Saccharomyces cerevisiae S288C: one gene and its partner. The gene in region 2 interacts genetically with the main gene of each other region. Each region holds a gene or a part of one and is shown on either strand. Other genes may lie near its edges.

Region 1 (4,206 bases), on a different chromosome or scaffold from region 2:
AAGCGATTGTGAAACTATGTGATATGTTTTGAGATATTTCATGAACCATATAGAATATGCATAGTATATCCCAATAAAGCATTGAATTATGAATGTCGTATCTCTATAAGCTCTCACATTAATGCTTCAAAAATACTTCATAAAACATTATAATATAGTTTAATGTGATTTTTGCGTGATTCTCTCCTTCTTTTTATTAAGTGTATGGACATTTAAAGTAACAGTTAATTGAGAATACGGTTGACCTGGCATGTTGTTCGAATCAATATCCAGGCACAAGTACCAGGTGCTAAAGAAAAAGTACTCTCATATTTGCTTGATTGCTGCTTGGGCTATTTTAACTAACTACTAACAATATTTTGCTTAAAAAATGGTAAATATGAATGTTTTACAGAAAAATAAAAAATGTATATATATAAAATCTCGAGCTAGCTGAGGGTTTTGGGAGCAGTCAAAGGGATTCCTTATTTCTTCCAAAAAAAAAAAAACAACCCTTTTACTTAACATTTATCAGCTGCATTTAATTCTCGCTGTTTTATGCTTGAGGACTGACTGATACTCTCATCAGCTAGCGAATCATGTTGAGTTTTTCCCTTTCCGAATGGATCAACCACAGTAGATGCAAATTTTCTGGCAGGAACCCCTTGGTTGAAAAGTTCATTAATTTCACTGAAGGTTCTACCAGTTGTCTCAGGCAGATCGATGATGACCCAAGCTAAAGTGACTGCTGTGAAACCACCCCAGTATAGACCAGTTTTGGCACCCCAGTTCCAATCGCTCACGTTTAGCATATAGGGCGTTAATATAGCGTTAATAACGGCCATGAGATTGTAGCAAATACGGGCCAGCACTATAGTCTTAGTTCTCAACTCCGCTGATGGAATTTCAGCAACGATACAGTAAACAACTGCACCGATACCAGCATTGTAAAAGAATGATAAAGCCAGCAATAAACCACCGGCACCATTACTAGCGCTGCTTCCAGAACCAAAACCCATTCCACCAATAATAAATAAGCAGACCATTTGAAATGCAAGACCATAGGTCAGTATTGTCCATCTACCAACACGGCCAGATATTACCCAGGAGCAAAGTGTACCCGCTAACCCAAGACAGTACTGAATTAGAGAAAAAGTAAACGCCTTGTCGGTGGCCATACCTGCTCTTTCAAAAAAATATGTCGAGTAACCAAGTAAAACGGCACCGCTACTATTTTGAGCTACCCAAGTTAAACATGCAAGTCTCGTTCTTCTTCCATTAACTCCCTTGAAACAATTAAAGAATGATCCTGATTTAGATGCTAAAAGTCTTTCTTTTTCAATAGTCAATTCAATCTGCTTTAAAGTAAGATCAACTTGAATGTCCTTCTCGGCGCCTTTACCACTCAAAATTCTGCTTAAAGATTTTCTTGCCTCAGCGACCCTATCCTTTCTCACCAACCACCAGGGCGACTCAGGAGCGAAAAAGATACCGATCATTAAAGGAGCAGGCCAAATCCATTGTAAAGCAAATGGCAATTTATAGCCCAAGTCGGAGTTCCCTAAATTCTCTTGTGAGTTTTTCATAATACCAGAGGCGAAGATTTGACCAAATAACCAACAAATGTTGGAGTAACTGGTCATGTAATATCTTAATGCTAAAGGGCAAACTTCCGAAGCATAAGTAACAGCCAAACTTTGGAAACAACCCCATGGTATAGCTGAGAGAATTTGTCCCACAGCAATCATAGCTAAACTTTTACAGTAGTAGAGGATAAAGATATAAGCAGTTAACAAACCAAGTGCTGTAATCATCGTATAACGATTCCCCATAAATTCAACCATATAAGTCGTGATTTGCAAACCAATCATCTCACCACAAAGGACACACATGTTTAAACCAATCTGCCATTGGGAAGTAATTTCGTAAGAACCCTCCCCGTTCAAAGTACCGAATTTTCTCTGAAAAACTGGCAGGGCATACAGTGCGCTCAGTAGTGCGGTATCATAACCTTCCATAACCAGGGTAGTAGACACTAATATGGACCACAGGGCTGCTTTTGGATATTTTAGCAACGCCTGCTTCAAAGTCATGCTTTTTTCCTCGCTGTTAGCTTCATTTGCATCATCAGTAGCGTTCATCTCATTAATCACATTCTCGTTATCTTCGTCAGAATCTCCTAACTGGGCTGAATTGGTGGTGAACTCTAAGTGGTCTAGCTCAAAGGCACTATCCTTTTTCCCTTCTTCAAAATCTTCAGTATTGAAAACCTCCTGTTGGTTTACAATATCTCTTGAAGACTCAGAAATGTTTTTATCCTCATTTTTTGAGGCAGCCTTCTTCTTGCTTACCAATGAAATGATATTTTTCATATTATACTATTTTTTTAGTTGTTTGATGTTCTTCTATGTAGCATCAGAAAGAAACACCAACCCGAAAATTCTTCAAACAATCAATACCAAACCGCTTTATATAAAAAATTAAGATGTCGACATTCCTTATTTTTTACTGAGTTCGTTAAAGTTGGGTACACTCTTGATTACTGTAATTGTCTCTGTATGTCCCTCAAGCCCGGTACGTTGTCATTTTCTAGTACGCATCAACGGAGTGTTACATGATAGATAGACCGAGTAGAATCTATGGCTATGGGGTAATTAAAACCTTAAAGCTCCTTTCGCTGCCATAGTAATACGAATAGACCTTGGCTATAGTAAGTTGCATCTGTACCGTAGAGATTCTTGCAACTCGCTTAAACTCTCGCTTTTAGATAATATTTCTCCTTATTGCGCGCTTCGTTGAAAATTTCGCTAAACACGGGGTTTAAGTTAAAGTTTACAGGATTTATCCGGAAATTTTCGCGGACCCCACACAATTAAGAATTGGCTCGAAGAGTGATAACGCATACTTTTCTTTTCTTTTTTTAGTTCCTAGCGTACCTAACGTAGGTAACATGATTTGGATCGTGGGATGATACAAACAACGTAAGATGAATAGTTCCTTCCTCAATTCTTCTTGCAGCATCATTTTCTTGAGGCGCTCTGGGCAAGGTATAAAAAGTTCCATTAATACGTCTCTAAAAAATTAAATCATCCATCTCTTAAGCAGTTTTTTTGATAATCTCAAATGTACATCAGTCAAGCGTAACTAAATTACATAAATGACTATTTCTGATCATCCAGAAACAGAACCAAAGTGGTGGAAAGAGGCCACAATCTATCAAATTTACCCAGCAAGTTTTAAAGACTCCAATAACGATGGCTGGGGTGATTTAAAAGGTATCACTTCCAAGTTGCAGTATATTAAAGATCTTGGCGTTGATGCTATTTGGGTTTGTCCGTTTTATGACTCTCCTCAACAAGATATGGGGTATGATATATCCAACTACGAAAAGGTCTGGCCCACATATGGTACCAATGAGGACTGTTTTGAGCTAATTGACAAGACTCATAAGCTGGGTATGAAATTCATCACCGATTTGGTTATCAACCACTGTTCTACAGAACACGAATGGTTCAAAGAGAGCAGATCCTCGAAGACCAATCCGAAGCGTGACTGGTTCTTCTGGAGACCTCCTAAGGGTTATGACGCCGAAGGCAAGCCAATTCCTCCAAACAATTGGAAATCTTTCTTTGGTGGTTCAGCTTGGACTTTTGATGAAACTACAAATGAATTTTACCTCCGTTTGTTTGCGAGTCGTCAAGTTGACTTGAATTGGGAGAATGAAGACTGCAGAAGGGCAATCTTTGAAAGTGCTGTTGGATTTTGGCTGGACCATGGTGTAGATGGTTTTAGAATCGATACCGCTGGTTTGTATTCGAAACGTCCTGGTTTACCAGATTCCCCAATTTTTGACAAAACCTCGAAATTACAACATCCAAATTGGGGGTCTCACAATGGTCCTAGGATTCATGAATATCATCAAGAACTACACAGATTTATGAAAAACAGGGTGAAAGATGGTAGAGAAATAATGACAGTCGGTGAAGTTGCCCATGGAAGTGATAATGCTTTATACACCAGTGCAGCTAGATACGAAGTCAGCGAAGTTTTCTCCTTCACGCACGTTGAAGTTGGTACCTCGCCATTTTTCCGTTATAACATAGTGCCCTTCACCTTGAAACAATGGAAAGAAGCCATTGCATCGAACTTTTTGTTCATTAACGGTACTGATAGTTGGGCTACCACCTACATCGAGAATCACGATCAAGCCCGGTCAATTACGAGATT
Region 2 (4,796 bases):
ATATACAGATCCTATATTCTTCATGTATGTAATAGATTCCCATACCTTCTTCGCATTTAAGACACTAATAGAAATGAAAGCTTTCTATTAGTCATTCTTCCTATGCACTAGACCACGCAAAGGTGAACCGGCTTGGTACGAGAATTCTATCACACGGTAATGATAGTGTTCCCGATGTCAAGCAGTCTTATACAGTACTACCCAAGAGCTTAAGAATAAGCAAGAAGATCTGGCAAGCTACAAGGTACTCATAACGATCTTCAAAGCGTAAGTTATGATCTTATGAAAATCAGACTTTTTTGTCTCAACAAACTCCTAGTTTGAAGATGTTACTGAAATGCCCTTCAAACACTTTTACTTGAAAATCATCGATTACTATTCTAACCTTCACAAATGAGCCTTTACACAACTTGATTAATAATAATATTTGACCTTACTCTAAATCGTCTCAAATATTACTGAGGCACAATCTCATGGTTATTGATAGAAAGAAGAATATAACATATATCTTATTTACATATGTTCGTCAATATTATAGGTAATACAATTTTTTCTCAGAGGGTTTCAAACTATTGAAAAATGGCAATGGTGGACTACAAGCAGCGAGAGCCCTTCTTGCATGATTATTCATATATTTCAATCCGAGCAAATAACTTGTGTTCACCCAACCAAAGCCTTCTGTAGCGACGCCCTTAAAATCAGCACCTTGATTACCATATTCCGCATCAACGCGATGCGGATCAGTCCCTCTTGTCACATCATATTTTTCTACCACCATTCCGTTATAATCAACAAATGATTTTGTAATCATGTACAGCCACCTATAAGCCAATCTTGTAGCTACTTGTTGATAACCATATGCAGATAAACCTTTCCAGGCTAATATTTGGTGCGGCGCCCAACCAAAAGGATAATCCCATTGCCTGATCGGTCTATCAATAGAAATAGGACCTCTTGATTTTTCTGTGCATGCAACTAGTCCGCCGAGCATTTCTAACTGAGGAAGAGCTTTTTCTACTGTGATTTTTGCTTGCTCTTCAGTTGCAAGACCAGCCCACAAACTCCAAAAAGTCGTTGCAGACTCATAAGACGTTCTGCATTTCAGTTTCGTGTTATAATAGAAGAAAAACCCTGAATCTTCGTCCCACATATACTTATTAATCCTTGTTTTCCTCAGTTCAGCTAGCTCCTCCCAGTGTTCAGAATCGGTTACCGTTCCATCATTCTCATCTTTATATTCATTACCAAAATACTCCTTAATGACGAAAGCAATATCTTTCTCATATTTATAGAGCAAGGAGTTTAGATCAATTGTCGCTAAATATGCACATACACCTTCAAACCTATAAGTCGTGTCATGTCCTGACTCTCTCACGGCACGATCATGTAAAAAAAATGCATCCAGTTTGGGTTCTTTAATCATGCCTTCGTTATAAAGGTACCTAAGCTTTTCCAGAGTAACATTGTACTTTTCAGCATACGGTAATAATATAGTATCAAAATGATCTGGTTCAGTTTCCGGAGGGATACCAATACCATCAGAATGATAACAAGACAGCCCTGTCAGAGAATCTAACCTAGGGCTCGACATCCACACCTCTTTATATTCTTTAATAGCAGCTCTGAACGCGCGTTTTAACAACTGAATAGCGTTTGGATTATTCTTACCTCCTATCTTTTCAAATACGAGCAGAGCCATATCGGTTAGGAATGGTGGCTGAGATCTGCAAAGATAATAACTCCTATTAGCATTCAAAATTTTACTATAGTGATCAATTTCGAATATAAAATGCTCCACCATACCTCTTGCAACATCAACCTTATTACTTTCTATGAGTCCCAGTGCCATTAAATATGAATCCCAGCCATACAATTCATTGAATCTACCGCCAGGTACCGCATAAGGATAACCAACTAGGGACCTTTCACCAGTAGATGGATTAACGTGTTCTTCCATAGCCAGGGCTAACAAACCCGGTGTATCATTTAATGATTTAACATACTCTGCTGTAATATCTTTTGGTAAGTACTCCACTTCAAGTTTTAAGGACGGGTTCATTTGAGATGCCTGAATGTAAAATTCGTACTGCTCTGGGCAGTTATATGGAACATAAATTCTTGGATTTTTAGCGCCTGGCGTATCTATTTTTGAGTCTCTAGCAATTTCTGCAATATTATAAAGATCAACTCTTCTCGTTAAACTCGTCCAAAATTGAGTCGTTATCAATCTTGATAATCTATCAACAGGGTTTTCATTTATACGCGCCTCATCCAAAAATATTTGGTGTCGTCCGAAACTTTTTGCAATGGTTAGTTCCTGCAACAAGTTAGAAAGCATATATGTTCCCCTAACATTTACATGTTTGAAACCGTTGGAATTGGCCGTCCCGACTTTAATAACTTTGGGCCCAGTGTCTTCTATGGTAATTTGGTGATTCTTGTCTGTGTCCTCACTAGCGAGCAGCTCATCTAAAGCGAGATCCACATTATCAATATAAAATCTACGGTTACCTTGGCTGCTGAGGAAGCTGTCGTCTTCAGAACCCCTCCTTTTCAGGGTATAATCCTTCATTCCGTTTTTGAAGTCAGAAACTTTATTGAAAACACTCATAGTTCTGGTTCTATTTAGTCTATGAATTTTTGACTGTTTTCTTGGATCTGTTATTGGTCCATAATAGACCTCTGCGTTGGAAAACGGGTCAAAATACTCATGCATAGAGGACAACCGCCGGTGATGTCTTCTACCACCTTGTTGCCCCTCTTCTTTCAACGGCCGCTGCTCTGAACCACTTGAAAGTGGCTTTATGTTATCTTCACCATCATTACCTTCGGATGGAGGATTTATTTCCGTTACTTTTGGTAAAAAATCTACCATTATTTGAGTATATGCAGGTCTCCTTATATACCAAATGTCTGATCCGAACCTGCGTCAAATATATTTGCAAAGGAAAAATATAAATAAATAAATAAAATTGAGAAATAAAGAATATTAGTTTTAATGGAAAACAGTTCCTACAAGCGCTATAACATATGAAATATACATTAGTCGAATATTAACTTTGGGAGGTAATTACAATTCCTATCCGCTTTATATAATTTAGTGGAACTGGCACGCCGCTCGGAAAAATTGGACTTCAAATTACCCCGCGCGGAGATTTGCATTATAAACTCTATAAAGATGCGTGAATTTCTACTCATTTATTACTAATTATTTGAATGTTCTTTTGCGAACTCATTTATCTTGCTCATTACTCTATAAATATCTATGCCATGTGGTAGGAAAAAAATGCAGACCTTTCTTAATTCAACTTTTTTTCTTTCAAATCGATGGGGTCCCCATTGGTTTCCTCGTCATAATCACCTTCCTCTAATCTGTACTCTTTGTTTAAAAAGGATTTGTGAAACGAAAATTTTAATAAAATCCATGCCATCCGTATAGGTCCAAACTCTGGCCATAAACAATCCAGCAATTCGATGCGTACGCCCTTACTCGATGCCTGCCATATCAAAAAGTCACTTAATCTGGAAACGCCACTTGTCCTAATCAATAAATCTAAAGGGGGTACCCCCGCCGTGTAGAGATGCGATTCTAACGTGCTTTCGTCTATAGCGGCGCCCTTCTTATGTTGAACAATTGTTTCTTTCATGGCATGCAAGATTTCTTCCCTGCCTGTATATGGAAAGCAGATATTTAACGTGGCCCTTTTGTTGTTCTTTGTAGTTTCCACAGCAACCCGAACATCTTCTAATAGAGACTTATCCAACAAAGAGAGATCGCCGATAATTTTAATGCGTACCCCATACTTACAGGCCAGCTCTCCACGTTCTGTGATTTGTCGTATCCTTTCGCGCGCTAAAGTCATCAGTGATTCAACTTCCCGTGAGCTCCTCTTGAAATTTTCAATTGAAAAGGCAAACACGGTAGCCGTATCGACTCCTGCTTCATAACACAGTTCTAAGATTCTACTCATACTAACAAATCCTGCCTCGTGGCCCTCCTTTACGTCCATCTCTTTCTTTCTAGCGAATCTCCTGTTCCCATCCATGATGAACCCAACATGTCTAGGTACACAGTTAGATGCACGCAATGTGCGCGAAAAGATGTTTTTTGTCCACTTTAACACAAATGAATGACCAGGTATACCACTATCCGTTTCCATACCGTCTTTTACCTGTGTTTACCCTATTTTTACTGCTTAAGTTCTATTGAAACCTGTCATTATTACGAAAATTTTTTTTTTTTTCATTCTAAGCATTTTGTTGGCATCTTCGGAAAAAGCCCGAGCGAGGGTAACAGGGTTAGGGGATTAGAAGATTAAAGTAAGACACATTATAATCTATAGAGATTTTCTACAACACAAGAAGTGTGCCATTCAGTCCGAATTGAGTACAGTGGGACGATGTTTCAAAGGTCTGGCGCTGCTCATCACATCAAATTGATTTCATCTCGAAGATGCCGCTTTAAATCCTCCTTTGCAGTTGCTTTAAACGCTGCCAGTAAGTTGGTAACTCCCAAGATTCTTTGGAATAATCCCATATCATTAGTCTCGAAGGAGATGAACACATTGGCCAAAAATATAGTTGCCCTCATCGGGTCTGGCCATCCGGTGCTAAACAAGGTTACTAGTTACTATTTTGAAACAGAAGGCAAAAAAGTACGTCCCTTGTTAGTGTTGTTGTTGTCAAGAGCACTTTCTGAAATTCCCATGACAGAAAGAAATCACTTGAAAATTGACAAGTCGGATGTTCCTGAGGACCCAATTTACTCTAAACCTAGTCAAAATCAACTATTTCAA

What was found. A genetic interaction does not mean that the proteins touch.
Region 1: of NTH2 (region 2) and MAL11, changing one enhances a phenotype caused by changing the other (phenotypic enhancement), as found in Saccharomyces cerevisiae (one study listed by BioGRID).

The regions. Positions count from the first base shown.
Region 1 is NC_001139.9:1,073,463-1,077,668, forward strand, and holds MAL11 (alpha-glucoside permease), read right to left. Parts: upstream 2,352-4,206; coding exon 501-2,351; downstream 1-500. Other genes in the region: alpha-glucosidase MAL12, read left to right, coding at 3,137-4,206. UniProt on the Saccharomyces cerevisiae protein: High-affinity uptake of alpha-glucosides such as maltose, turanose, isomaltose, alpha-methylglucoside, maltotriose, palatinose, trehalose, melezitose and glucose. Acts with the concomitant transport of protons into the cell (symport system).
Region 2 is NC_001134.8:238,409-243,204, forward strand, and holds NTH2 (alpha,alpha-trehalase NTH2), read right to left. Parts: upstream 2,876-4,796; coding exon 533-2,875; downstream 1-532. Other genes in the region: RER2 (ditrans,polycis-polyprenyl diphosphate synthase), read right to left, coding at 3,300-4,160; COQ1 (trans-hexaprenyltranstransferase), read left to right, coding at 4,401-4,796.